4 linked regions of the Anolis sagrei genome follow. The protein of the gene in region 1 interacts with the protein of each later gene in a pairwise test. Links are inferred from orthologs where the notes say so. Each region holds a gene or a part of one and is shown in the gene's direction. Other genes may lie near its edges. The genes, in order: AP1M1, ZBTB43, TGOLN2 and RUNDC3A.

The links.
Region 2: the proteins of AP1M1 (region 1) and ZBTB43 interact in binary tests that used the Homo sapiens proteins (3 or more experiments, as listed by UniProt). The two-hybrid records come from large-scale screens. The link is inferred for Anolis sagrei from reciprocal best matches to the Homo sapiens genes AP1M1 and ZBTB43.
Region 3: the proteins of AP1M1 (region 1) and TGOLN2 interact in a two-hybrid assay, tested with the Homo sapiens proteins (2 studies listed by BioGRID). The link is inferred for Anolis sagrei from reciprocal best matches to the Homo sapiens genes AP1M1 and TGOLN2.
Region 4: the proteins of AP1M1 (region 1) and RUNDC3A interact in binary tests that used the Homo sapiens proteins (3 or more experiments, as listed by UniProt). The two-hybrid records come from large-scale screens. The link is inferred for Anolis sagrei from reciprocal best matches to the Homo sapiens genes AP1M1 and RUNDC3A.

The regions. Positions count from the first base shown.
Region 1 is NC_090034.1:59,407,815-59,414,817, reverse strand, and holds the start of AP1M1 (AP-1 complex subunit mu-1), read left to right. Parts: upstream 1-4,003; 5' UTR 4,004-4,065; coding exon 4,066-4,107; intron 4,108-7,003. Other genes in the region: RAB8A (ras-related protein Rab-8A), read right to left, coding at 114-174, 3,588-3,711. UniProt on the Homo sapiens protein: Subunit of clathrin-associated adaptor protein complex 1 that plays a role in protein sorting in the trans-Golgi network (TGN) and endosomes.
Region 2 is NC_090031.1:7,991,896-7,999,091, forward strand, and holds the start of ZBTB43 (zinc finger and BTB domain-containing protein 43), read left to right. Parts: upstream 1-4,191; 5' UTR 4,192-4,314; intron 4,315-6,083; 5' UTR 6,084-6,095; coding exon 6,096-7,196. UniProt on the Homo sapiens protein: May be involved in transcriptional regulation.
Region 3 is NC_090027.1:16,335,475-16,343,029, forward strand, and holds the start of TGOLN2 (trans-Golgi network integral membrane protein 2), read left to right. Parts: upstream 1-4,550; 5' UTR 4,551-4,622; coding exon 4,623-4,797; intron 4,798-7,555. UniProt on the Homo sapiens protein: May be involved in regulating membrane traffic to and from trans-Golgi network.
Region 4 is NC_090026.1:44,452,618-44,460,365, reverse strand, and holds the start of RUNDC3A (RUN domain-containing protein 3A), read left to right. Parts: upstream 1-4,730; 5' UTR 4,731-4,816; coding exon 4,817-4,923; intron 4,924-7,748. UniProt on the Homo sapiens protein: May act as an effector of RAP2A in neuronal cells.

The DNA.
Region 1 (7,003 bases):
TGCCAGGAGGGGTTGGGTTGTGCTTTCCCTGCCGGGTGGAAAGAAAAGGTTGGACTGGGTGGCCTTTGGGGGTCCCCACCCAACCTTAGAATCCTATGAAATCGGATGTGTACCAGATCTGGAGTTTGATCTTTTTCCCATCGAGGTCAATTGTCCTGATCTTGAAGTCAATGCCTGCAAAAGAGAAGCGGGGTTACCATCTGGGGGATCTCACAGGGTGAGATCTTGTGTGGAGCCCCAGATTGAGGGAGATTATCAGCAGTCTTGTATCTCTTCCATTTCCTACGGTTGATGTCTTCACATCAAGCCGCTTGCCTATTGCAGTTTCAGTCTTCCCAGTCTGGTGCAGGGCGACAATTTTGTTTCTGGTGTCCTTCGACAGCTCTTTGGCCTTCACCAGAGTGGAGTCTGGAGTGTGACTGCTTCAGGTTGTGGACAGGTGTCTTTTAGACTGATAACAAGTTCAAATAGGTGCCATTACTACAGGAGGGCAGAGGAGCCTGTCTATGAGACCCAGAAATCTTGATGTTTGTAGGTTTTGTTTTTGTCGTGTCAGGAGCAACCTGAGAAACTGCAAGTCGCTTCTGGTGTGAGAGAATTGGCCATCTGCAAGGACATTGCCCAGGGGACGCCTGGATGATTTGATTTTTTTTCATCCTTGTGGGAGGCTTCTCTCATGTCCCCGCATGAGGAGCTGGAGCTGATAGAGGGAGCTCATCTGCCTCTCCCCGGATTCGAACTTGCGACCTGTCGGTCTTCAGTCCTGCCGGCACAGGGGTTTAACCCACTGCGCCACCGGGGGCTCCTATAATAACAATAATAATAATAATGGAAGAGACCCCCGTGTCTTCCAGCATCTGAATAATAATAATAGTAATAGTTGGAAGAGACCCCCAAAGGCCATCCAGCCTCTACATAATAATAATAATAATAATAATAATAATAATAATAATAATAATAACAACAACAATAATGGAAGAGACCCACGTGTCATCCAGCATCTAAACAATAATAATAATAATAATAGTAATAGTAATAGTTGAAAAAGACCGCTAAAGACCATCCGGTCTCTGCATAATAATAATAATAATAATAATAATAATAATAATAATAACCCACTGCGCCATCGGGGGCTCCATTGTTTGTAGGTGACCAAATACTTATTTTCCACCATAATTTGCAAATAAATTCATTAAAAATCAGACAATGTGATTTTCTGGATGTGTTTTCTCATGTTGTATCTCATAGGTCTACCTATGATGTCAATTACAGGCCCCCGGTGGTGCAGTGGGTTATACCCCTGTGCCGGCAGGACTGAAGGCCAACAGGTCGCAGGTTCGAATCCGGGGAGAGCACGGATGAGCTCCCTCTGTTAGCTCCAGCTATTCATGCGGGGACATGAGAGAAGCCTCCCACAAGGATGATAAAACAGCCAGGTTGTTAACAGGAGTGGCACTCAGGGAGCACACCACTCCTCTGTTGCGTCAACTCCACACAATTCCGGGCACAATTCAAAGTGCTGGCTTTAGCCTTTAAAGCCCTAAACGGTTCTGGCCCGACCTATCTGTCCGAACGCATCACCCCCTATGAACCAGTTAGGACATTAAGATCGTCCGGGGAGGCCCTGCTCTCGATCCCGCCAGCCTCACAGGCACGGCTGGCGGGGACGAGAGACAGGGCCTTCTCAGTGGTGGCCCCTCGGCTGTGGAACGCCCTTCCCGCAGACATTAGGTCGGCCCCCTCCCTGCTGACGTTCAGAAGAAGAGTGAAGACCTGGCTCTTTGAACAGGCGTTTAATTAAGCAGTGCAATTAACTGATTGATCTTGGAACTTGGAATAATGGACGAGGAAATCGGATTATGACTTTACTGATGAGACGTGATGAGTTAGTTATTATGGATGTATTGATGTTATATTGATGTATTGATGTGCTGTTATATTATTTATTTATTTATTTGCTTTATTTCTATACCGCATTTTTCAGCCCTTAACAGGCGACTCAATGCGGTTTACATGGTACAATTATCAAACAGTGTCAGTGCAATTAAAACATAACAATGGAACAAACAGGATCAACAGCATCAATCCACAACAGTTAACAATCAACAAGACAGATCAACAAAACAGACATAACATAACGCCTCAGTTGAAATCAGATCCGTTCTCATAATCCTTGTGCCATTCCTATGTTCCATTTACCGTCTTCCTATGATTGGTTGCACTGCTTAACCAAACGCTTGTTCATAAAGCCAGGTCTTAACCATTCTCCGAAACGTCAGCAGCGAAGGTGCCTGTCTGATGTCTGCCGGTAGGGGCCACCACTGAGAAGGCCCTGTCTCTCGTCCCCGCCAAGCGCACCTGTGACGCAGGCGGGATCGAGAGCAGGGCCTCCCCAGACGATCTTAATGTTCTGGTCGGTTCATAGGTGGAGATGCGTTCGGAGAGGTAAGCAGGGCCAGAACCGTTTAGGGCTTTATAGGCTAAAGCCAGCACCTTGAATTGTGCCCGGTAGCGGATTGGCAGCCAGTGGAGCTGGTTCAGCAGAGGAGTGGTATGCTCCCTGAGTGCCGCTCCCGTTAGCAACCTGGCCGCCGAGCGCTGGACCATCTGAAGCTTCCAGGCAGTCTTCAAGGGCAACCCCACGTAGAGCGCGTTGCAGTAATCAATCCGGGATGTAACCAGAGCGTGGACTACCGTGGCCAAGTCAGACTTCCCAAGGTACGGGCGCAACTGGCGCACAAGTTTGAGTTGTGCAAATGCTCCCCTGGACACCGCCGAAACTTGGGGTTCCAAGCTTAGCGAAGAGTCCAGGATCACACCCAAGCTGCGAACCTGCGTCTTCAGGGGGAGTGTAACCCCGTCTAACACAGGCTGTAACCCTATACCCTGTTCGGCCTTGATGTAGTTGCCTTAGTTACTGTTTTTAAATGCTAGTGTTGTGCACTTTGTATATTGACCTGGTTGTAAACCGCACTGAGTCGCCTACGGGCTGAGAGAGTGTGGTATACAAATAAAGTAAATAAATAAAACATCAAAAAATCATCCAGGCATCCCCTGAGCAACGCCTTTGCAGCCGGCCAATTCTCTCACACCAGAAGCGACTTGCAGTTTCTCAGGTTGCTCCTGACAGGACGAAAAAAAATACAGGCCTCTCTCATCTTTTTAAGTGGGAGAACTTGTACAATTGGTACCTGACTAAATACTTCCCCCCTCCCTGCATATATATATATATATATATATATATATATTCTCAGTTATCCAGGGAAACCCTCAAGCAACTGACAAAAAAACCTACATCAAAGACAGAATGCTTCCAATGCATCACTTTCAGAATACACTAAACCAGTAAGAAGCCTGTTGCATCCAGCTTGCCCTAACCAAGCGCAGAGTGGATGCCCTGGGAGATGGTCCAGCATGAGGCCTACTTGGAGCCCATTCTCCCCTCAACCGGAAGAGGAGCCCTACTGCTCTCCAGCTAGAAGGTGGGCGTTCGTTGCCATGGCGACCGGGAGGTGGGTCCGGGGCGTCGCCATAACAACCCCTCCCTCCCCTCCCTCAATCCCACCGGTTGCCTGGCAACGACGCACCGATGGTGGAAATGAACGTGGCGTTGAAGGCGTCCTCGCTGAAGCGGAAGAGCGCGCACGTCTTGCCCACGCCGGAGTCGCCGATCAGCAGCAGCTTGAAGAGGTAGTCGTAAGTCTTCGCCATGTCTTCCTAGGCCTGCGAGGAGCCGCCGCGGCTCGCGATAGGCCCACGTCGCTGTCCGTCAGAACGCGCCGGACTCCCATTGGCTTGGCCGTTCGCCGGCGCACTCCTCCTCGAGCAGGAAGAGTGGGGAAACTTGTGATTGGCTGCGTCGGCGCTAACGTCCCGCCCATTGGCTAGAGAAACTTGCAATTGGTCCGTGCGCTGGATGACGTCAATAAGGAATGAGGCTTGTCCGCTCTAGAGTGGGGAAACTTGCGATTGGTGCGTGCGCTGGCTGACGTCACGGTGTGGTCCGCCCGTTGCTTGTCTGGCCGGAAGCGGAAAAGGAGCTCCGGCGCCTGCCGCGGATCCAAGATGTCCGCCAGCGCCGTCTACGTGCTGGACCTGAAGGGAAAGGTGAGGTTTCCTCTCTTCACCATTCTTCTTCTTCTTTTGTGATTGTTATTAGGTGTACTTGGCTTTGGACCTGCCTTGTAACCTGTCCTTCTAGGCTGGCTGTACTGTTATGGCAGATGAGGAGAAACGGGTTTTAGTTGGGGCCTTTCCCCCTTCCGTTGCCTTAATTCGCTCTACGAAAGCTGACTGGCACAACCTGGGAATCACAACCAGATACAGTGAAGGCATCTGCCCTTGCGCTTTGCTACACAGCTGCTGATTATTTATTTTATTTTATTTATTATTTAAACTTATATGCCGCCAATCCCCTGGGGCTCGGAGCGGCTTACAAGAATAGCTAAAATCTAACAAAGTTTAAAAGCAATTTAAAACAATTTAAAAACAACAGTATCAAACATTAAAAGCCTGTTGAAACAGGTATGTCTTACATGCTCTGCGGAAAGCTGGTAAGTCCCGCAGGGCACGAACTTCAGGTGGCAGAGTATTCCAGAGTGATGGGGTAACTGCTGTAAAGGCTCTGCATCTGGTTGCTGTTAGACGCAAGGTCTTGACACTGGGGGCTTCCAATAGATCTTGGTCCTCAGAACGGAGGGATCTCTGGGGTTGGTAGGGGGTGAGGCGGTCCCTCAGGTACATTGGCCCCAGACTATGCAAGGCCTTAGAGGTGAGTACCATCACTTTGAAAGTGATCCGGTGCTCAATTGGTAACCAATGCAGCTGCAGTAAGATTGGAGTTATGTGGCATCTCATCAGAATTCCCGCAAGAAGCCGAGCAGCTGCATTTTGTACCAACTTGAGCTTCTGAATCACCAACAGAGGGAGGCCAATGTAGAGGGTGTTACAGTAGTCCAGTCTTGAGATGACCGTGGCCTGGATCACCGTAGCTAGGTCGTCCCTGGACAGGTAGGGGGCCAGCCGTCTAGCCTGCCGCAGGTGAAAGAAGGCGGTTCTGCTCACGGCGGAGACCTGGGCCTCCATTGTCAGCAGAGGGTCCAAAAGGACTCCCAGACTCTTTACCAATGATGACGGGCGTAACGCCTCGCCATCCAAGGTGGGCAGATGGATGTCCCCACTGCCCGGTCCACCCAGCCATAGGATCTCCGTCTTTGCTGGATTCACCCTCAACCTGCTGGCACGCAGCCATCCAGTAACAGCCTCGAGGCACTGATGGAAACAATCGGGTACAGAGTCCGGTCGGCCTTCCATCTTCAGCACCAGCTGAGTGTCATCGGCATACTGATAACACTCAAGCCCAAAACCTCGAACCAGCTGAGCAAGTGGTCGCATATAGATGTTAAACAACAGAGGGGAGAGAATGGCCCCCTGAGGAACCCCACAAGATAGAGGGGACCTCTCAGAGACCAGGCCTCCCCTCTCCACTCGCTGTCCACGGTTGTGAAGAAAGGAGGACAGCCAGTTTAAAGCTGCCCCCCTGACTCCAGCAACATCAAGGCGGTGGGTCAAGAGATTGTGGTCGACTGTGTCAAATGCTGCTGTGAGATCCAATAACACAAGCAGTGCTGACCCGCCCTGGTCAAGCTGGCATCGAAGGTGATCCATGATGGAGACCAGCACAGTCTCTGTCCCATGCCCCGCACGGAAGCCGACTGGAAGGGTTCTAGTCCGGCTGTGTCGTCAAGGAATTGCTGCAACTGCTCCGCTGCTGCCCTCTCAATCACCTTGCCCAGGAACAAGAGATTTGAAACTGGGCGGTAACTGGAGGGAACCGAGGGATCTAAATCTGGTTTCTTCAGCAAAGGAGAGACCACCGCCTCTTTTAAACCCTCTGGAAAGACTCCTTGCTCAAGGGAGCTGTTTATAATCTTCAACAGAGGGTCACGTGATCCCTCCAAGCAGGATTTCACCAACCAAGAGGGACACGGATCGAGGGAGCAAGTGGTCGGTCTAGCTGCAGCTATGAGCCTATCGACAGCCCCTGCATCCAGTGGGATGAACCGGTCGAGGATGGGCCCAGCAAGTGGCCACGGGGTCTCAACTGCATTCCCAGTGTGGAACACATCTCACAACTGCGTTGTTGTAGGCGTTTGGGGGCTATATGACCATGTTCTGGAGGCAATTTTTCTCCTGACGTTTCACCTGCATCTGTGGCAGTGGTTCTCAACCTTGCTAATGCCGTGACCCCTTAATGCAGTTCCTTATGTTGTGGTGACCGCAAACCATAATATTGTTTTCGTTGCTACTTGATACTTGTCATTTTACTACTGTCATAAATCATAATGTAAATATCCGATATGAGGATGGATTTTCATTAACTGGAGTAAATTGAGCACAAATACCCAATATGCCCAAATGTGAATGCTAGTGGGGTTGGGGAGGATTGATTTTGTAATTTGGGAGTTGTAGTTGCTGGGATTTATAGTTCACCTGTAATCAAAGAGCATTCTGAACTCCACCAGCGATGGGTTTAAACTGAACCTGGCACACAGAACTCCCATGACCAACAGAAAACCCTGGAAGGGTTTGGTGGGCATTGACCTTGAGTTTGGGAGTTGCAGTTCACCTACATCCAGAAGAGTGCTGTGGATTCATGCAATGATGGATCTGGACCAAACTTGGCATGAATACTCAATATGCCCAAATGTGAACACCGGTGGAGTCTGGGGAAATTGACCTTCACATTTGGGAGTTGTAGTTGTTGGGATTTACAGTTCACCTACAATCAAAGAGCTCCACTGGCTACCGATTAGCTACCGAGCCCAATTCAAAGTGCTGGCTTTGACCTTTAAAGCCCTAAACGGTTCTGGCCCTACATACCTATCCGAACGTATCTCGGCCTATCAGCCCACCAGGACCCTAAGATCTTCAGGAGAAGCCCTTCTCTCCATCCCGCCTGCTTCACAAGTGCGGCTTGCGGGAACGAGAGATAGGGCCTTTT
Region 2 (7,196 bases), on another chromosome or scaffold:
GATGTGGTGACAGACGGGTCAGGCCGAAGGGCCTTCACTGCCTTAGATTGGAGTGCCACCTGCTGTTTAGACTCCATAATGTTGAGTTTAAACTTTCTCAAGCTTTTGATGCTTTGGAGTTAGTTCCCGGTAAAGCATTGCTACTTGTTGGAATTTCAGATTTTGCTGTATTTTGCTACAACACGGCTATCGCTATCTATCTATCTATCTATCTATCTATCTATCTATCTATCTATCTATGTTATCCTAGATCAATGTTTCCCAACCTTCCTAATATTGCAACCCCAAAATACAGTTCCTCATGTTGTGGTGACCCCCAACCTTAACATTATTTTCGTTGCTACGTCATAACTGTAATTTCGCTACTGTTATGAATCGTCGTGTAAATATCTGATACGCAGGATGCTTTTTCATTCACCGGACCAAATACCCAATGCACCCAAATTTGAATACTGGTAGGGTTGGGGGGGGTGTGATTTTGTCATTTGGGAGTTGTAGTGGTTGGGATTTATAGTTTGCCTACAATCGAAGAGCATTCTGAACTCCACCAACAATGGAATTGAACCAAACTTGGCACACAGAACTCCCATGACCAACAGAAAATACTGGGTTTGGTAGGCATCGACCTTTATTATTATTTTATTATTATTTACTACTACCCGTCCCCTGCCACGCATTGCTGTGGCCCACATGGGGCTTCTGCGTAGAAGGTTTGGCCCAATTCTGTCATGGGTGGGGTTCAGAATGCTCTTTGATTGTAGGTGAACTATAAATCCCAGCAACTACAACTCCCAAATGTCAAGATTTTTTTTCTCCAAACTCCACCAGTGTTCACTTTTGGGCATATTGAGTATTTGTGCAGATCCATCATTGTTTGAGTCCACAGTGATATCTGGATGTAGGTGAACTACAACTCCCAAACTCAACGTCAATGCCCACCAAACTCTTGCAGTGTTTTCTGTTTATCATGGGAGTTCTGTGTCCCAAGATTGGTTCAATTCCATCATTGGTGGAGTTCAGAATGTTCTTTGATTGTAGGTGAACTATAAATCCCAGCAACTACAACTCCCAAATGACAAAATCATTTTTTTTTTTTTTAGTGAAGGACATACATTGGCCTGATAGGTGTCTTGTGTCCAAATTTGGTGTCAATTCCCCCAGTGGTTTTTGAGTTCTGTGAATACCACAAACGAACATTACATTTTTATTTATATAGATATTTGTATACCGCCCTTCTCAGCCCTTAGGTGACTCATGGCGGTTTACAGTGGCAATGATTTGATGCCCAAAAACACCATAGCACACTTAAAAACATTAACACATAATATATAACCATAGTAAGAATACTAAAAGCATACATCATTTACGTCTCCTAATGAAGACATTGTCCCATCTCGTCGTCCAGTCTTTCCAATTCTTTTGTTTTTTATCTTTAGTTTTGGAGTTGTAGTTCACCTACATCCAGAGAGCCCTGTGGACTCAAACAATGATGGATCTGGACCAAACTTGGCACAAATACTCAACATGCCCAAACATAAGAACATTGGTGGAGTTTGGGGAAAATAGAACTTGACATTTGAGAGTTGTAGTTGCTGGGATTTTTAGTTCACCTACAGATGGAGCCTTCTAATCAAGGTGAAAGAAAAAAGTGCAAAAGCTGGGCTGCAGCTAAACATCAAAAGAACCAAGATTATGGCAACAAGAATGATTGACAAATGGGAAATAGTGGGAGAAAATGTGGAGGCTGTGACAGACTTTGTATTTCTAGGTGAAAAGATGACTGCAGATGCAGACTGCAGCCAGGAAATCAGGAGACGCTTACTTCTTGGGAGGAAACCAATGTCCAATCTCGATAAAATAGTGAAGAGCAGAGACATCAGACTGGCAACAAAGATCTGCATAGTTAAAGCAATGGTATTCCCCATAGTCACCTATGGATGTGAGAGCTGGACCATAGGGAAGGCTGAGCGAAGGAAGAGAGATGCTTTTGAACTGTGGTGCTGGAGGAAAGTTCTGCGAGTGCCTTGGGAGTTTAAGTCCAAAACACTTGGAGGGCCAAAGATTGCCCAGACCTGCTCTACACTGTAGGATCAATGCAGTTTGACACCCCTTGGACTGCCATGGAATAATGGCTGTTGTGGTTTGGTGTGGCACCAGCATCCTTTGGCAGAGAAGGCGAACGAACCTTGTAAAACAACAACTGCCAGGATTCCATAGCACCGAGCCATGGCAGTTCAAGTAGGGTCAAAACAGCATGAATTCTACAGTGTAGATGCACCCGCTGTCATTATCTCGGCCACCCATTTTGCCATCGTGTTCATTCACCTCCCAGATCCATCTCGGTTGTCCGCTGCGTGGCCTGAGTCAGCAAGACAGTTCTTGTGCGGCTGTGATTGATCAAAAATCCTAAGAATGCTTGCCTGACTTCACAGAGGCCTCATTTCCAGCGGTGTGTTCACTTGCAGGACGTGTCACGAACAAGCCGTACAGAAGCCTCGCTTTGCCTGGGGAGGAAGGAGAAGCCTTGCATCTGGAGGAAGCGCTCCTCACGCACAGGTGAACCCAAACTCTCAGTTCTGTGCAGGGTCTCACCAAAGCCAAATACAGATCAAAGGCTGCTTTTGAACTCTCTCCAAGCACAACCCTTTGGCATCCCTACCACTTCATCACATTCTTTAAATACTACTGAGCCACCCATTTAAGAAACGGAAAGCTACTGTGTTCATCACGTAACATAGGTTTCAAGTGTAGGGTAGAGATACGAGGGTTGAATGAAAAATAATGCCTCCACCTTCGTAACTTCTCAACAGATGTCAGTGCTGGTATTCGGCAGGTACTGGCTTGTTCAGTAGACTCTCCTCTACGGCAGGTACTGGCTTGTTTAGTAGACTCTCCTCTACAATTCCATTTTGGCGGGAAGCCTTAGCATTGAATGGTTGTGTTTTTAAAATGCGAAGTGTGGAACCCTGCGCAGACAGTCTGTCAATGCTGCGCCACAGTCCTGGTGTGAATGTTGCCATTGGCCAGCTTGATTAGCATTGAATGGCCTTGCAGCTTCAAAGCCTGCCTGGTTGCTGACTGGGGGGAAGCCTTTGTTGGGGGGTGTTAGCTGGTCCTGATTGTTTCCTGTCTGGAATTCCCCATTTTTCTGTGTGTTGCTCTTTATTTACTGTCTTGATTTTAGAGTTTTTAAAATATTGGTAGTCAGATTTTGTTCATTCTCATGGTTTCCTCCTTTCTGTTGAAATTGTTCACACATTTGTGGATTTCATTGGCTTCTTACATACTCTGTTATTTACTTATTTATTTACGGCATTTATATGCCGCCCTTCTCACCCCGAAGGGGACTCAGAGCGGCTTACAATATATAATTCCATACAATATAGTATATAATTAGTATAGTACAATATCAGTATTAGATATTACTATATTGCACTATACCATTATATTGTAATATTATTAGTAATATTACATGTAATGTAAATATATAATTATAATATTGTATTATTATTGCTAGTATTATATTGTATTACATTATAATATTATAAATATTATAAGTGTATACAATATACTATATTATATTATTAGTAAAGACAAGATGGAAATGTCTTCTGCTCCCCTCTGCCTTTGCTCTGGCCAGTACTCTATGCAAAAGTACACTCTAAAATTGCAACAGCACAACAACAGAGAGGAAGCAGGCTGGGACATCTAATTACCTCTCAACAAAAGTTTGCTCCAGGCACAGTCAGGCCATTGTATGCTAATCAAGGTGGTCAGTTGAAACATTCACACCTAGCTCCAGCAGACAAGAGTCCTTTGTCTCACCCTGGTCATTCCACAGATATATAAACCCTTTTTCCTAGTTCCAACAGGCCTCACTACCTCTGAGGATGCTTGCCATAGATGCAGGCGAAACGTCAGGAGAGAATGCCTCTAGACCATGGCCATACAGCCCGAAAAACCCTACAACAACCCAGTACACCATCCTTCCAGGATTCCATAGCTTTTGAGCCCCGGCTATTGAAAACAATGGCATCCAATTGCACTCATTCATTCATTCTACAGTGTGGCAATACCACAGACAACCAAAAGGGGGCGTCAACCAGGAAGTGCACCTCTGCTTGTATAGATCTATCATGCAAGTCTGTGGTTAACTCTAAAGGCGGAAGCGGATGTGGCGGGGCTAGAAAACCGGAAGAAGGAAGAGACTAGGACTTCCGGGCCTGAGTGGTGGGCTGGTGGAGGCGAAGCCTGAGGGGCTCGCCCGCCATGTGAGGCAGGAGCGCTTCGCCGAGGGCCTTGCCTTTCAGAGAGGTGAGGCTTGGCTTGGGCTGAGGATAGGGAAGGAGGGGGAGAGGGGAAAGAGGTGGGGCTTGCCCTGGGGGCATCTGCACTGTAGGATTGACGCGGTTTCATAGAATCACAGCATAATAAACTCGGAAAAGACCACATGGGCCACCTAGTCCACCCCCCTGCTATGTAGGAAAGGCACCATCAAAGCACCCCTGACAGATGGCCATCCAGCCATAATGATGATGATATTAGAGTTGGAAGAGACCACATGGGCCATCTAGTCCAACCCCCTGCTATGCAGGAAAGGCACAATCAAAGTAACCCTGACAGATGGCCATCCAGCCATAATGATAATGATAATAGAGTTGGAAAAAACCACATGAACCATCTAGTCCAACCCCCTGCCCTGCAGGAAAGACACAATCAAAGCACCCCTGACAGATGGCCATCCAGCCATAATAATAATGATGGTGATGACATAGTTGGAAGAGACTACATGGGCCATCTAGTCCAACCTCTTGTCCTGCAGGAAAGGAACAATCAAAGAAGTCCCTGACGGATGGCCATCTGGCCATAATTATGATGATGATGATGATGATAGAGGTGGCACAATCAAAGCACTCCTGACAGATGACCATCTGGCCATAATTATGATGATAATAATAATAATAGAGGTGGCACAATCAAAGCACTCCTGACAGATGGCCATCCAGCCATGATGATGATGATAGAGGTGGCACAATCAAAGCATTCCTGACAGATGGCCATCTGGCCATAATTATGATGATAATAATAATAATAATAATAATAGAGGTGGCACAATCAAAGCACTCCTGACAGATGGCCATCCAGCCATGATCATGATGATGATGATAGAGGTGGCACAATCAAAGCACCCCTGACAGATACCATGCAGCCATAGTAATACTGATAATGACCATTCAGCAATAATAATAATAATAGAGTTGGAAGAGAACACGTGGGCCATATAGTCTAATCTCCTGTCATGCAGGAAAAACACCATAAAAGCATCCCTGACAGATGACCACCCAGCCATAGTAATACTGATAATAGAGTTGGAAGAGACCACATGGACTATGTAGTCCGACCCCCTGCCATGCAGGAAAAGCACCATCAAAGCACCCCTGACAAATGGCCATCCAGCCATAATAATAATAATAACAACAATAGAGTTAGTAGAGACCACATGGGCCATCTAGTCCAACCCCCTGCCATGCAGGAAAAACCCAATCAAAGTACCCCTGACAGTTGGCCATCCAGCCATAATAATAATATGGCAGCTAAAGTATCAAACAGTATTAATTATATGGTATAAATTCTCCTACAGACTCAGCAATCCTTATCTGGGAATCCAAAATGTACCATAATCTGAAATTGTTTGTGTGCTCTATCAGTTGCTCTTCTGAACTGCAACAGACCTTGTAAGGAGCAGGGTGACCATGTTGTTATTGTTGTTGTTGTCTTGAGCAGAGAATAGATTGGTTGTTTGCCCTGTGAAAGAGAAGAAATAAATCCTCTTCTATCATGACTTTCCTATGAATTACAAATTGGAACATAAAAAGAAATATGTTGGACGTGTTCCACTATTTTCATCATGACCAGCGATGAACAGCCCAAAGGCAGAGCATGAGGGCAACAGCAGACTCCTCTTACATTCCTGAGAACTGATAACGTTTTCCTAAGGGGAAGTCTGGCTGGTCATGAGAGGGAGAAAACAAATCACAGCCCTGCTTTCCTATTCGTGAACTAAATATTGTCTTTCCTTGCAGTCTGCTGATGAAATGGAGCCTGGGACCAATTCTTTCAGAGTGGAGTTCCCCGACTTCTCCAGCACCATCTTGCAGAAGCTCAACCAACAACGCCAACAAGGGCAGCTGTGCGATGTTTCGATTGTTGTCCAGGGCCACCTCTTCAGAGCCCACAAAGCTGTCCTGGCAGCCAGCTCCCCTTACTTCTGCGACCAAGTGCTCCTGAAAAATAGCCGGAGGATCGTTCTGCCTGACGTCATGAACCCCAGAGTGTTTGAGAACATCCTCCTGTCGACCTACACGGGACGGCTGGTCATGCCCGCTCCGGAGATTGTCAGCTACCTCACAGCAGCGAGCTTCCTTCAGATGTGGCACGTCGTCGACAAATGCACGGAGGTTTTGGAAGGGAACCCGTCAGTGCTTTGCCAGAAGCTGAACCGTACCAGCGACCATCAGTCTCCAAGCAGCAGTAACTACAACGGCCTCGTGGAAAGCTTTGAGCAGGCTGACTTTCACAAAGTGCAGGAACTGCGGGATGGGGAGAACGAGGAGGAAAGTTCCAAGGATGAGCTGTTATCTCAACTAACAGAACATGAGTATCTTCCGAGCAATTCTTCAACGGAGCATGATGGGCTGAGCACAGGAATGACCAGCCAGGATGGGGAAGAAGGAGTGAGCGATAGTGCGGATTATCAATACACGAGGCCACTTTACAGCAAGCCGAGCATCATGTCTCACAAGCGGTGGATCCACGTCAAAACGGAGAGGTTTGTCCAGGACTGTGAAGCTGTGGAAGTGCATGGCCCTTACGATGAACAGCAGGTATCTGAGTCTGTAAACACTGTCCAGGCTGACCACAGTGTCCAGACCTCCGCTGCCGAAGATCTCCGCGTCGGCGAGAAAAAGGTGGAAAGGGAGTATGGTGAGCGAGCCAACGAAGGCAGTTACGACGAGCAAGTGGATTTCTATGGCTCCTCCATGGAAGAGTTTTCTGCGGAGAGGGCTGATGGGACTTTAAGCCTCCAGAGACAGGATGTGGCTGGTTATGGGGAAAGCGTAGATGCGACATCTGGGATCAAAGAGGAAAATGCCCTCTCTGGGTTTTCTACAGCTGACAAGCTTTACCCGTGCCAA
Region 3 (7,555 bases), on another chromosome or scaffold:
CCTTTCCTACTGATCTATCTTCTTGTTTTTTGTTCCCCCTCTTTCCTTGTGTGGATTGTGAAAAACTTAATAAAAATCATTAAAAAAAAAAAAAAGACATATAGAGAGGGATAGTTGAAATTCCTCTGCATGATACCTAAATCAACAGGGAGCAAGAGCAAGACAGCCGCAGATATGCTGGGATTGTTGAAATGCTTTCCAGTGCCATTCATGCAGCATTTGCAAACTGTCGTTGCTACTCCCCTTTACAGTTTCACTTTTCTGTAAATCCCTGACTATTGGTCTTGCCGGCTGAGACTTCTGGCAGCCCCAGAAGTCGAAAATAAAACATTGTTGTGACATTTATAAAATAAATAAATGCTTATTCAGAGATGATGATGTTGTCGCAACTCAGGATAGATTCACCTTGCTCAGAACAACACCACACACCAAGGCTGTAGGTTTTGTAGTTTATTGAAGAAAAACAAAATCATAAATGTAGAAATAAGGTTGCAAAAGTTCAATAGCCAAAACAGAGTCTCAACTGCAAAGGCAGAGTTTCCAAGGTCCAAAGGCAAATAGCATGAAGTATTATCCACAAGTACTGGTCAAACAAGAATCCATGGCAGCACGAATCGTAATGTAAATATCTGATGTGCAGGATGTATTTTCATTAATTGGACCAAATTTGGCATTAATACCTGATACGCCCAAATCTGAACACTGATGGTTTGGGGGGGGGGGGGGATTGATTTTGTCATTTGGGAGTTGTAGTTGCTGGGATTCATAATTAACCTACAATCAAAGAGCATTCTGAACTCCACCAGCGATAGAATTGAACCAAACTTGGCACACAAAACTCCCACGACCAGCAGAAAATAGATCTGGACCAAACTTGGCACGAATACTCAATATGTCCAAAAGTGAACACTGGTGGTAACTGGGGAGAATAGACGGCATTTTAGAGTTGTAATTGCTGGGATTTATAGTTCGCCTACAATCAAAGAGCATTCTGAACTTCACCAGCAATGGAATTGAACCAAACTTGGCACACAGAACTCCCATGACCAACAGAAAAAATTTGAAGGGTTTGGTGAGTGTTGGCCTTGAGTTTTGGAGTTGTAGTCCACCTACATTCAGAGAGCACAGTAGACTCAAACAATGATTAATCTGGACAAAACTTGGCACAAATACTCAATATGCCCAAATGTGAACACTGATGGAGCTTGGGGAAAATTTACCTTGACATTTGGGAGTTGTAGTTGCTGGGATTTATAGTTCACCTACAATCAAAGAGCATTCTGAACCCCACCAACGATAGAATTGGGCCAAACTTCCCATGCAGAACCCCCATAGCTTGAAGAGACTTGCTGGCGTGAGCCTCCCTCCAGCCCTGCACGCTCTCCCTCGGCCACACATACACAACACACTGCCACGTGCTGAGCACACCTACTCTCCTCTCCCTGCTTGGAGTCTCAAAAACAACCTTCTCCTTGGATGAGAGGTCGGCCAATCACAGCAGAGGAGTGCGGATTTGACCTCTGTTTCCAAAAAGGAAGAGGACAGGTGGAGAGATCTTCAGACTATCAATATGTTTTCTGTTGGTCTTTGGCGACCCCCCCCCCCCCCCCCGAAACCCTCTTGCAACCCCACGGGTCCTGACCCCCAGGTTGAGAAACACTGCCATAGAATGTCAAAACAGTCCAGTAGAAGAAGGTGACAGCAACCTCATACTGAACCAATCTTGCCAAGAAAACCCAATGATATGTTGGTTTTAAGGTCATCATCAATTGGAAATTATTTAGAGACACATAACAATAACAATGGTAGCGAACTAAGCTATTCCTCTTCTTTGGGCAAGGCTGGGGATAGAACAGATTGAACGAGGGGAATCCACCTCAATGAGATCACAAAAACCGACAATTTCCAAGCCATCAATTAATTTGTAAGAAGGATTTCATCCACGATTTTCATGATCTCAGAAGAAAAAAAATATGACGGAGACCACAAGATGGTGCTATGTGATAATTGTTTAGCTGAGTCTATTTCTAGAGACTTAAGGAGCTGACTTTTACAAACTTGGCAGACCTTACATGGCTGTCTGGAACAAGAGAGTTTTGCAGGCCGCCCAATTCACAGACATGCGAGGCGTTGTATTTCTCCTCCTTCACGCACAACAATCTTCCACTAGGGCTGATGTGCCTGGCCACAGACACCTGTAGTAGGTCTGGTAATATGTGTATCACCACCTGTCAATAATCTGTTTATGAAATTGCGACATTCTTGTCTCTTATTATACCTTCTCAGTACATTGCAAGGTGTGTTTTTGTAGTGATGTGTGCATGTTACCGTATATACCTGGCATTACTAAGGTATTGTTACACTACTGTCATGCCTTCTTTCTCACCCCTTCGCCCCCCCCCTTTTTTTATTTCCTTCTCTTTCTCCCTTCTCCAGCTCTTGAGAGGGCCTACCTCACAAGATCTCCATGGCAATGTGTCCCTCTTTATGGCTCTTTCCCCCATTCACTTTGTATGCCTCACAATTCTTTCCAAGTGACATTGCTGAGGGCCACTTCACCTACCGATAGCAAGGTCAGTGACATCGCAGAAGGCCAATTCACCTAGTAATAGCCAGGCCAGTGACACTGCAGATGGACACTTCACCTAGCAACAGCAAGGCCAGTGGTACCCCCGAGGGCCACTTCACCTAGCAACAGCCAGATCAATGACACTGCAGAGAGCCATTTCACCTAGCGACAGCCAGGCCACTTCACCTAGCAACAGCCAGACCAGTGACCTCGCAGAGGGCCACCTATCAACAGCCAGATCAATGACACTGCAGAGGGCCACTTCACCTAGTGATACCAGGCCAGTGACAATGCAGAGGGCCACTTCACCTAGCAACAGCAAGGCTAGTGGTACCCCAGAGGGCCACTTCACCGAGCAACAGCCAGATCAATGGCACTGCAGAGGGCCACTTCACCTAGCGACAGACAGGCCAGTGACACCAGAGGACCACTTCATCTAGCAACAGCAAGGCTAGCACCACCACAAAGGGCCACTTCACCTAGCAACAGCCAGACCAGTGACACCGCAGAAGGCCACCTAGTAACAGCCAGATAAATGACACTGCAGAGGGCTACTTCACCTAGCGACAGCCAGACCAGTGACACCGCAGAAGGCCACCTAGTAACAGCCAGATAAATGACACTGCAGAGGGCTACTTCACCTAGCGACAGCCAGACCAGTGACACCGCAGAAGGCCACCTAGCAACAACCAGGCCAGTGGCATCGGAGAAAGCCACTTCACCTAGCAACAGCTAAACCAGTGACACCGCAGAGGGCCACTTCACCTAGCAACGGGTTTTCAACTCTAATATATTACTTCAAGCAGAGTATCCTAGACAGTTGTGAAGAAAATGGATTCGTCGCTGAGCCTGGAGCCCCAGGTCTCGGCGGTGACCAGGGGAGCCTTTGCACAGCTAAGGCTCGTGCGCCAGCTGCGCCCGTACCTTGGGAAGTCTGACTTGGCCACAGTAGTCCACACTCTGGTTACATCCCGTTTAGACTACTGCAATGCTCTCTACGTGGAGGTGCCTTTGAAGACGGCCCGGAAGCTTCAATTAGTCCAACGTGCGGCAGCCATGTTACTAACAGGGGCGGGACGTAGGGAGCATAAAACCCCCTTGTTGTACCAGCTCCACTGGCTGCCAATTTGCTACCGGGCCCAATTCAAGGTGCTGGCGTTGGCCTATAAAGCCTTAAACAGTTCTGGCCCAAGATACCTATCCGACCGCATCTCGACCTATGAGCCCACCAGGACTTTGAGATCTTCCAGGGAGGCCCTGCTCTCGATCCCGCCTGCTTCACAAGCATGGCTGGCGGGGACGAGAGATAGGGCCTTCTCGGTGGTGGTCCCTCGGCTGTGGAACACCCTTCCCATGGACATCAGACAGGCTCCTTCCCTGTTGATATTCCACAGAAAATTAAAAACCTGGTTGTTCAAGAAGACGTTCGAACAAGAAGTGCAATGATTGGTAATGACTATAGGAATGGAATAACGGAAAATGATATTGGATTGTGGTTTAGACAATGAGACGATGCTGAATGGTTTCGTAGTAATGACAATGTTTTGTATAATGCTTTTTGTATGTTTTTTGCATAATGGTTTGAGAATTGTTTTTATACTGTGTTTTGTATTTTGTTCTTCCCATGTTGTACACCGCTGTGAGTCACCCTTGGGCTGAGAACAGCGGTATAGAAGCAAAGTAAATAAATAAATAAATAAAATGTGCTATTATCCTTGTGGCTTTATAGAATTTTAATATGAATTTCATTGGCCTTTAGAAGATGCACCCTCTCTCTCTATATATATAGCCATGAAGGAACCTGATGAGATGCTCAAGTGAAGAATCAAAGCATGTTACAGCACTCTAGTTCATTCGTAGCTCTAGGGCGCCTCATCGACGAAGCCCCGCCCCCTTCTCCTTCCCTCCCTTTCTGTGACAGGGCGCCTCCTATTCTCGCGAGAGTGGAGACCAGAGCTCGGGGAGTCTCCCTCGGCGGATGTGACGTGAACGGACTTCCTTTTCCCGTGTGGAGGTGTTGCGGGAAGCGGAAAAGAGTCTGGGCTTGGCCGGCATGGCGAGCGCGCGGCGGTGCCTCCTTCTGCTCTTCCTCCTCTTCCAAGTGGCCGCCTTCGGTGCCTCGGCGCCGCTGGAGCCCGGCGGAGGAGAAGCAGCAGCAGGAGGAGGAGGAGGAACAGGCGGCGGCGCGGAGGAAGCAGAGGCGGAGGAGGCCGCAAAGGAGGGCCCAGGTCAGAGCGCGAGGAGGTGGCTCTCGGGCCATGTTTCCCCCATGTTTCCCTGCCCTTCCCCTTTCGCTTCTCATCTCATCTCTAATTACTTATTAATCGCCCTCCATCCGAGATGCTCCAGGCGATTTACACTGCAGGAATTACACAGGATAAAACGCATACATACAAATATTAAAATTAACATGAGTCAAATGCTCCAGTAAAAAGCCAGGTCTTAAGCGCCAGGACAAAACGCCCCAAGTCGCGCATGGCTCGGAAATAGGGCGGCAAGGAATTCCACAAGGCAGGGGCAGAAATAGAGAAGGCCCATCTGCGTCTGGTGCTTTCCAAGCGCACTTCTCTAGGACCCGGTATATTGAGCAGATCGCGTTGGGATGGTCGTGGCGACCTCCGATGATGGTAGAAGGAGAGGCGGTCTCTAAGATACAATGGATCCTGGCCAAATAAAGTTTTAAAGGTCAGGACCAGCATCTTATACAAACCACGATGCTCAATTGGGAGCCAGTGTAGATGCCGCAGCACTGGTGTTATATGGCATTTCATGGGCGTTTTTGTGAGTAACCTGGCTGCAGCATTCTGAACAATACGGAGCTTTCGGGTCGTAGAAATAGGAAAGCCAACATACAAGGCGTTACAATAGTCTAGCCTAGATGTGACCGTGGCATGGATGACTGTTGCCAGAGCCTCATCCGACAGGTAAGGTGCCAGTTGCCTCGCTTGTCGTAGATGGAAAAAGGCCTGTTTGCTGGCAGCAGCAACCTGAGCCTCCATCGTCAGCTGCAAATTCAAAATGACACCTAGGCTCTTAACAGTAGGCAATGGAGATAGAGCAGCATCATCAAAGGCTTCTGTTCATTTCTGTGGCTGATGAGTCCACCATGAAAGTTCATCTCATATTTATTAATATACTACGGTAGTGTGTGTGTGTGTGTTATCTATCTATATAAATAAAAATTTAATGTTCGTTTGTGGGATTAACATAACTCAAAAACCACTGGGGGAATTGACACGAAATTTGGACACAATACACGTAACAGTCCAACAAGTGTCCATCATCCCTAAAACACACACAAACCCAGCGGAACAGACTTAAAAATCCAAAAAATACACCATATATACATATACAAATACACTCATATACATATACACATGCACTCATACACATGTGTGTGTGTGTGTATATACACATGCACACATACAGATATACATGCATATACATATACACATAAACACACACATATTCATATAGACAAGAACACACATATACAAAATATGCATGTCCACATATAAACAAACAAATACACAAATATATGCACATACATATACACATGCACACAGATATACATATATACATAAACACAGAAATATTCATATAGACAAGAACTCACATATACACATTATGCATGTACACATATAAACAAACAAATACACTAATATATGCGCACACACATATACAAAATATGCATGTACACATATAAACAAACAAATACACAAATATATGCACATATACATATACACAAATATTCATATAGACAAGAACACACATATACACAATATGCATGTACACATATAAACAAATACACAAATATATGCACACACACATATACATATACACATATATGCACACACACACATATATATATACAAACATCTATACACCCACACACACATATATATGGAAACACACATATAAACACAAATAGATACGAGTTGTAGTTTACCTACTACCACAGAGCACTGTGGACTCAAACAATGATGTATCTGGGCCAAACTTAGCACAAATATTCCAAATGCCCAAATATGAACACAGATGGAGTTTGGGGGAAATTGACGTTTCCATTTGGGAGTTGTAGTTACTGGGATTTATAGTTCACCTACGATCAAAGAGCATTCTGAACCCCACGAATGATAGAATTGGGGCAAACTTCCCACACAGAACCCCCATGACCAACAGAAAATACTTAAGGCCATCCAGTCCAACTCCTTTCACCAGAGCAAGAAAACATAATCAAAGCCCTCCTGACAAAGAGCCATCCAGCCATAAATATAGATAGATATGATTCACACACACACATATATACATATATGACAGATAATAGTATCATAGATTTGAAAGAGACCCCTGAAGAAGGACAGTTATATGTTGTATATTCCCTAGTAGGCAAACCAGACAATCTCTACATCAACACTAACAAAGAAACAACAAGAAATACTGTTTACTCACAAGTATCAAGACATTACATATATTAGAAACCAACACTTTCTCATTACTTTATTTTCCAGATCACCAGACTGGGCCACAGCAACGCATGGCAGGGAATGCCTAGTCTATATAAATAAAACTGTAATGTTCGTCTGTGGGATTAACATAACTCAAGAACCACTGGACAAATTGCTACCAAAATCAAAAAGCATTCTGAACCCCAGGAATGATAGAATTGGGAGCAAACATCCCACACAGAACCGCTATGACCAATAGAAAAGGCGATCCAGTCCAACTCCCTTCACCAGGGCACGAAAATATAATCAAATACTGTATACCCACAAGCATAAAGAAATTACATATATTAGAAACCAACACTTTCTCATTACGGTACTTTATTTTCCAAATCACCAGACTGGGCCACAGCAATGCATGGCAGGGGATGGCTATATACATATATATATACACACATACCTGGCACTGCCCGGGTGACATTGAGGCCGCTGTTTACCTACTTTCTCCCTTCTCCAGCTCTGAGAGGGCCAAGGTCGTCTC
Region 4 (7,748 bases), on another chromosome or scaffold:
TGGGTGAGAATATACAACCCTGCCATACGCCTATCGCAGTCTGTTTTTCCATGGTCAGTTCTTACTATTGCTACTTGGTCATTATACAGATTCCTCAGGAGACAGACAAGGTGGCTTTGTATCCTCATACCACCAAGAACTTGATCCACATTTTAGGAGATATTTATTGAAAAACTATTGCAAAATGTGCTGCAGATTTTTTTGCAGTTTAATAAACTTCCCCCATGTTTTTATGATAGAAACAATTAGGAAATGACATTTATAACCCAGGAAAAATGTGTTACATAATGTTATCCACTTTTGTCTATAATCTTTCCTCTCTGAAACACTGTTTTAGCATACGGTGCATCCATGTTTTTACCATGTTTTTATGATAGAAGCAATTAAGAAATGACATTTATAATTCAGGAACAAAAAGTGTGTTACATCATGGCAGAAGGAAATGGGATACTGTGTCATTATCTGGCCGGAGGCCACTAGGGGGTGCTAGAGAGAAAAGGATAGTCCATTTTATGGACATGGAGGGTGGGTTGAAGAAGGAAAACTACTTCCTCCTATTTTCCTGTTATTCCTTCAACCTATGTCCCTGTTGTGGAAAGGTTTATGAAATGGAAAGCAGGGAGGGGGAATCACCACTGAAAACAAGGGGAAATGGTTTTCCTCCTTCAACTCCTTCCCCCTGTAAAATGGACTATCTTTCTCTCTTTAGTGCCCCCTAGTGGCCTCCATCGGAATAATAAAACAGAACCTTAGATAGAACCAATTAGGAAATTGTATTTATAATCAGGAATAGAAATCATGTTACATAGGGCCCTTTCACACAGCCATAAGTAAAGGTAAAGGTTTCTCCTGACATTAAGTCCAGTCATGTCCAATTCTGGGGGTTGGTGCTCATCTCCATTTCTAAGCCGAAGAGCTAGTGTTGTCTGTAGACAACTCCAAGGTCATGTGGCTGGTATGACTGTATGGAATGCTGTTACCTTTCCACAGGAGTGGTACCTATTGATCTACTCACATTTGCATGTTTTTGAACTGCTAGGTTGGCAGAAGCTGGGCCTAACAGTGGGAGCTCACTCCACTTCCCGGATTCGAATTGCCAACCTTTCAAACTATGGACTTTTCAGTCAGCAAGTTCAGCAGCTCTGTGGTTTAACCTGGTGTGCCACCCGGGGCTCCCCATACAGCCATATAACCCAGAATATCAAGGTAGAAAATCCCACAATATCTGCTTTGAACAGGATTATCTGAGTCCACACTGCCACACTGCGGAGATTAAGATCCTCCGGGGAGGCCCTGCTTTCCTTTTCATTATTGTCACAGGCGCAATTGGTAGGGTTGAGAGACAGGGCCTTCTCGGTGATGGCCCCCTGGCTATGAAGCTCCCTTCCTGGTGAGATCAGGTCGGCCCCCTCCCTCCTGTCCTTCAGAAGGATGGTAAAAACTTGGCTGTGGGACCAAGGTTCAGGACAGGGCAATAAAGCAGCAGTAGGAAAGATTACCAGGCCAATTAGATTTGACACTAATGACCAGGATGGTTTTAAATTGTGTATTTTAATATTGAAATAAAAGTTTTTCATATTTATGTATCCGTATATGAATCCATGTCACAGCATTGAACGTTGGCCATATATGTGGTACAGCTGGCTGGGAGTCAGTTGTATTAAGATCAATACTGACAGAAAGGTCATGAGTTCGAAGCCAGCCCGGGTCGGAGTGAGCTCCCGACCAAAATTGTGTAGCTTGTTGTCGACCTTTGCAGCCCGAAAGACAGTTGCATCTGTCAAGTAGGAAATTTAGGTACCATTTATGTGGGGAGGCTAATTTAACTGATTTACGAAGCCATAAAAATCTCCAGGAAGTATGCAGAGAACGAGGAAGTACTTCATCAGTGTCACAAATGGACGGTGAAGTGACAGCTCACCTGGTGGCCAGTAGCTGGAATGTTAAGTAGCCTCTGAGTGTCTGTCTATATATGTTGTGTGTCTATGGCTCTTAATGAGACATGCCGCATTATCACGGGGTATCTGCGCCCTACACCACTGGAGAAATTACACTACTTAGTTGGTATTGCACCACCTGACATCTGCCGGGAAGTAGCAGCTAATAGTGAAAGGACCAAGGCAGAGACATCTCCAGCTCATCCCTTGTTTGGGTATCAGCCAGCATGTCAACGACTTAAATCTAGAAATAGTTTTCTAGGATCTACAGAGACACTCGCTGGAACACCTCAGCAAGCGAGAGTCCAAAAGTCCAAAACCCAGAACCTCAATCAATGGCTGATACCAAATGAGAGACTCCCCCCTGGGCACACAGAAAACTGGGCGACTTGGAAGGTGCTGAACAGACTGCGCTCTGGCACCACAAGATGCAGAGTCAATCTTAAGAAATGGGGATACAAAGTGGAATCCTCGACATGTGAGTGTGGAGAAGAGCAAACCACTGACCATCTGCTGCAATGCAACCTGAACCCCGCCACATGCACCATGGAGGACCTTCTTGCAGCAACACCAGAGGCACTCCAAGTGGCCAGATAATGGTCAAAGGACATTTAATCAACTCCCAAGCTTGCAAACTTTGTGGTTTTTTAAATTTGTTTGGTTGTTTTGTTCTGTTAGAAATGTAATACAATGGTCTGGTTGCCCCTAACACGATAAATAAATGGCACTGAATGTTTGCCATGTATATGCACATTGTAATCCGCCCTGAGCCCTCTGCGGGGTGAGAAGGGTGGAATATAAATACTGTAAATAAATATATAAATATGCTGTGCTCTTCCCTGAGTCCCCTTTGGGGTGAGCAGGGAGGAATATCAACGTTTTAAATAAATAAAATATATTCCAGTTCAGAGAGGATAATGTGGGATTTTATTCAGCTGTGTGGAAGGGTAGAAGAAAATGCTTTTTTTTACATCAAATGGCAAAATCAAGGTGTGGTTTTTTTGGGGGGGGGGGGTTTGGGTGGTGGAGGATAATATTTTCAATCTCTGGGTGGTTGGATCCGTGGATACAGAATCCGTGGATTCGAAGGTCCAACTGTATGAATGCCTGAAAAGAATGGGCAGGGAGGGATAACAGGGATGGCTCTTTTTCAAGGCATTGTTGTTGTTCATTCGTTTAGTCGTCTCCGACTCTTCGTGACCTCATGGACCAGCCCATGCCAGAGCTCCCTGTTGGCCGTCACCACCCACAGCTCCTTCAAGGTCAGCAGTCACTTCAATGATGCCATCCATCCATCTTGCCCTTGGTTGGCCCCTCTTCCTTTTGCCTTCCACTTTCCCCAGCATAATTGTCTTCTCTAGGCTTTGCTGTCTCCTCACGATGTGGCCAAAGTACTTCAGCTTTGTCTCTAGTATCCTTCCCTCCAGTGAGCAGTTGGGTGTTATTTCCTGGAGGATGGACTGGTTGGATCTTCTCGCAGACGAAGGCACTCTCAGAACTTTCCTCCAACACCACAGCTCAAAAGCATCGATCTTCCTTCGCTCAGCCTTCCCTAAGGTCCAGCTCTCACATCCGTAGGTTACTACAGGGAATACCATGGCTTTGACTATGCGGATGTTTGTTGCCAGTGTGATGTCTCTACTCTTTACTATTTTATCGAGATTGGACATTGCTCTCCTCCCAAGAAGTAAGCGTCTTCTGATTTCCTGGCCACAGTCTGCATCTGCAGTAATCTTTGCGCCCAGAAATACAAAGTCTGTCACGGCCTCCACGTTTTCTCCCTCTATTTCCCAGTTGTCAATCCTTCTTGTTGCCATAATCTTGGTTTTTTTATGTTTAGCTGCAACCCAGCTTTTGTGCTTTCTTCTTTCACCTTGATTAGAAGGCTCCTCAGCTCCTCCTCACTTTCGACCATCAGAGTGGCGTCATCTGCATATCTGAGGTTGTTAATGTTTCTTCCAGCCATTTTCACCCCAGCTTTGCATTCATCCAGCCCCGCACATCGCACGATGTGTTCTGCATACAAGTTTAAAAGGTTGGGTGAGAGGATGCAGCCTTGCCGTACGCCTTTCCCAATCTTGAACCAGTCTGTTGTTCTATGGTCAGTTCTGACTGTTGCGACTTGGTCCTTGTACAGATTCCTCAGAAGAGAGACAAGGTGGCTTGGTACGCCCATCCCACCAAGAACTTGCCACAATTTATTATGATCCACACAGTCAAAGTTTCAAGGCATTGGACATCCTTTATTGAAAGCTGCCTTCTGATGGATTGGATTATAACTCCCATACATCCCCCCACAATCAAGAATCATGGGAGTTGTAGTCTGATCCCTTTCCTCTCCCTCGATCCCTTCCTGTCTCCCCCTCCCTCCCTTTCCCAACTCCTTCCCATCACCAGCCATGACGTCACCGGCCTCCAAAGGGAGGGGGCTGCTTCCTCTTCGAGGAAGGAGGAGGGCCGGCTTTTCAATCAGCACCAAGGAGAGCTCCTCCCGGCCTGCCCTCCTCCCTCTCTCCCCCCGCCCTCCCTCCCTTTCCTGGTCCTCCTCCGACCCCGATCTCCTCTTTGGCGGCTTTCCCAGCACCCCCTTCCCTCCCCACCGCCTCCCTTGATCCCTCCAAGAAAGGGGGCTGGAGCTAATTTTAGGACGAGAGAGAGGAGGCCGATACTTCCGAGCCATCCGATCTTGGGGGAGGCTCACCCAACGCCTCGTCTTCTGGGGGAGGGCGGGAAGGAGGGGCCGGGGGAGGGGAGGGGGTGGTGGGGAGGAGGAGGAGGAGGAGGGAAGAGGGGGAGGGGGAGGGGAGGGGGAGGAGGAGGAAGAGGAAGGCAAGCGGGTGGTAGCGGCGCCCGGCCGATCCAGAAGATCCCTCCCCTGGATGGAACCCAGCTGCCTCCAGTCCACCATGGCGCTGGGGCTCTCCTCCAAGAAGGTCTCCTCCCGGAACATTGCGGTGGAGAGGAAGAACCTCATCACCGTCTGCAGGTAAGGGGTCAGCTGGGAGTCTTTGTATATATATCTATATCCTATCTATCTATCTATCTATCTATCTGAGAGGAGCTGTATCTCAGAGGGTCCACCTTAACCATTTCAAGCCATGGTTGACCATTCACACCCAGAACATCTCAGCCAGATCCATGCACATACATAACTACATACATACATATATATAGTTATGTGTAGTTATGTATGCATGGATCTGGCTGAGATGTTCTGCATATGAATGGTCAACCATGGCTTGGAATGGTGAAGGTGGACCCTCTGAGATACAGCTCCTCTCTTAAGATTAGAGGAACAAATCTGGAAGGACATCAGTATAGTATGGAAGGCTAAATATATATCTATATTATATGTATGTATTTATATATTTATGTATGTTTAGATAAAAGATCTGGCTGAACTGGGTGTCCCCGGTTCAAGGAAATGGTTAACCACGGTGAAGGTGGACCCTCTGAGATACAACTCCTCTCTTAAGATTAGAGGAACAATTGTGGAAGGACATCGGCATAGTATGGAAGGCTAGATATATATACATACATGTATGTGTGTATGTATGTATGGATCATAGATGTGGCTGTTCCCAGTTCAAGGAAATGGTTAACCACGGTGAAGGTGGACCCTCTGAGATACAACTCCTTTCTTAAGTTCAGAGAAACTATCCAGAAGGACATCAGCATAGTATGGAAGGCCATGTGTGTGTGTGTGTGTTTGTATGTTTGGATCTGGTCATGGATCTGGCTGAACTGGGCATCCCCAGTTCAAGAAAATGGTCAACAATGGCATGGCATGGTGAAGGTGAACCCTCTGAGATACAGCTCCTCTCTTAAGATTAGAGGAACAATTATGGAAGAACACTGGCATAGTATGGCAGGCCATATATATATATATATGTGTGGATCTGGTCGTGGATCTGTCTGAACTGGGTGCCCCCGGTTTAAGGAAATGGTCAACCATGCCTTGGCGTGGCAAAGGTGGACCTTCTGAGATACAGTTCCTCTCTTAAGATTAGAGAAACAATCCGGAAGGACATTGGCATAGTATGGAAGGCTAGATATATATCTATATATCTATATTATATGTATGTATTTATTTATGTATGTTTGGATAATAGAACTGGTGTCCCCAGTTCAAGGAAATGGTCAACCACAGTGAAGGTGAACCTTCAGAGATACAGCTCCTCTCTTAAGCTTAGAGAAACAATCCAGAAGGACATTGGTATAGTATGGAAGGCCACGTATATGTGTGTGTGTGTGTGTGTGTTGATCTAATGATGGATCTGTCTGAATGGTGTGCCTCCGGTTTAAGGAAATGGTCAACCATGGCTTGGCATGGCGAAGGTGGACCTTCTGAGATACAGTTCCTCTCTTAAGATTAGAGGAATAATTCTGGAATGACATCAGCATAGTATGGAAGGCCATGTGGTGTCTGTGTGTGTGTGTGTGTGTGTGTATTTATGTATGTTTGGATCTAGTCATGGATCTGGCTGAATGGATGGCCCCAGTTCAAGGAAATGGCCAACCATGGCTTGGAATGGCAAAGGTGGACCTTCTGAGATACAGCTCCTCTCTTAAGATTAGAGGAACAATTCTGGAAGGACATTGGCATAGCATGGAAGGCTATATATATGTGTGTATTAATGTATGTGTGGATCTGGTTGTGGATCTGGCTGAACTGGGTGTCCTCAGTACAAGGAAATGGTCAACCATGGCTTGGAATGGCAAAGGTGACCCTCTGAGATACGGCTCCTCTCGTAAGATTAGAGAAACAATCCGGAAGGACGTTAGTATAATATGGAAGGCTATAGATGTATTTATGTATGTTTGGATCTCATGGATCAGGCTGGATGGGTGTCCCCACTTCAAGGAAATGGTCAACCTTGGCGTGAAATGGCAAAGGTGGAACCTCTGAGATAGAGCTCCTCTCGTAAGATTAGAGAAACAATCTGGAAGGACATCAGCATAATATGGAAGGCTATTTATGTATGTTTGGATCTCATGGATCTGGCTGAATGGGTGTTCTCAGTTTAAGGAAATGGTCAACCATGGCCTGGCATGGTAAAGGTGGACTCTGAGATACAGCTCCTGTCTTAAGATACCTGTCAGGTTAGAGAAAACAATCTGGAAGGGCATTGACATAGTATGCCATTTGGAAAAAAAATAGAAGGGAGCATCAAGGTGAGATAAGGGAGCAAGCTCAAAGCTGAAAGGTGGAAGAGTGGGTAGACTCAGGCCAAAGGTAACTGGAGTCAACATGAGATGCTCTGTTGTGATCCATGTTTCAGAGAAGGCTTGGTGTAATCCACATGTGTGATACGCAAGGCCCATGGGCCGAATCCACCCTCTGTATCCTTTTCTGTGCCCCTCCTCCAGAGGCTGGATTCTAACTCCTGTATTCCTCATCATGATGGGAGCTGTAATACAATAGCATCCGGAAAGCTTCCATTTGTACTGTGTAGTCAGAATAATGGACTAGATTATACAAAACTTGTGGATATGGTGCCTGACTTTAAAATGCCCTTTAGCCTTTTCTCAGCCTCAGAGCCACATGTGCTGTTGGGTTGCGAGTCCCATTATACCCAGTCCTCATGGCATATAATCAAAAGTGATGAGAGTTGTTGTTCAGTAACACCTGAGAACCCAAACTGGGTAAAAATTAGAGTACTGACCACTATGTTATATATATAAAATTAGAGTACTGACCACAATGTTATGTGTGTGTGTGTGTGTGTATGGATTCAATGGCTCTTTGAAGGCAACCATAAGGCGGATGTGGTCCTCCATGAAAATGAGTTTGACACCCCTGGTGTAGAC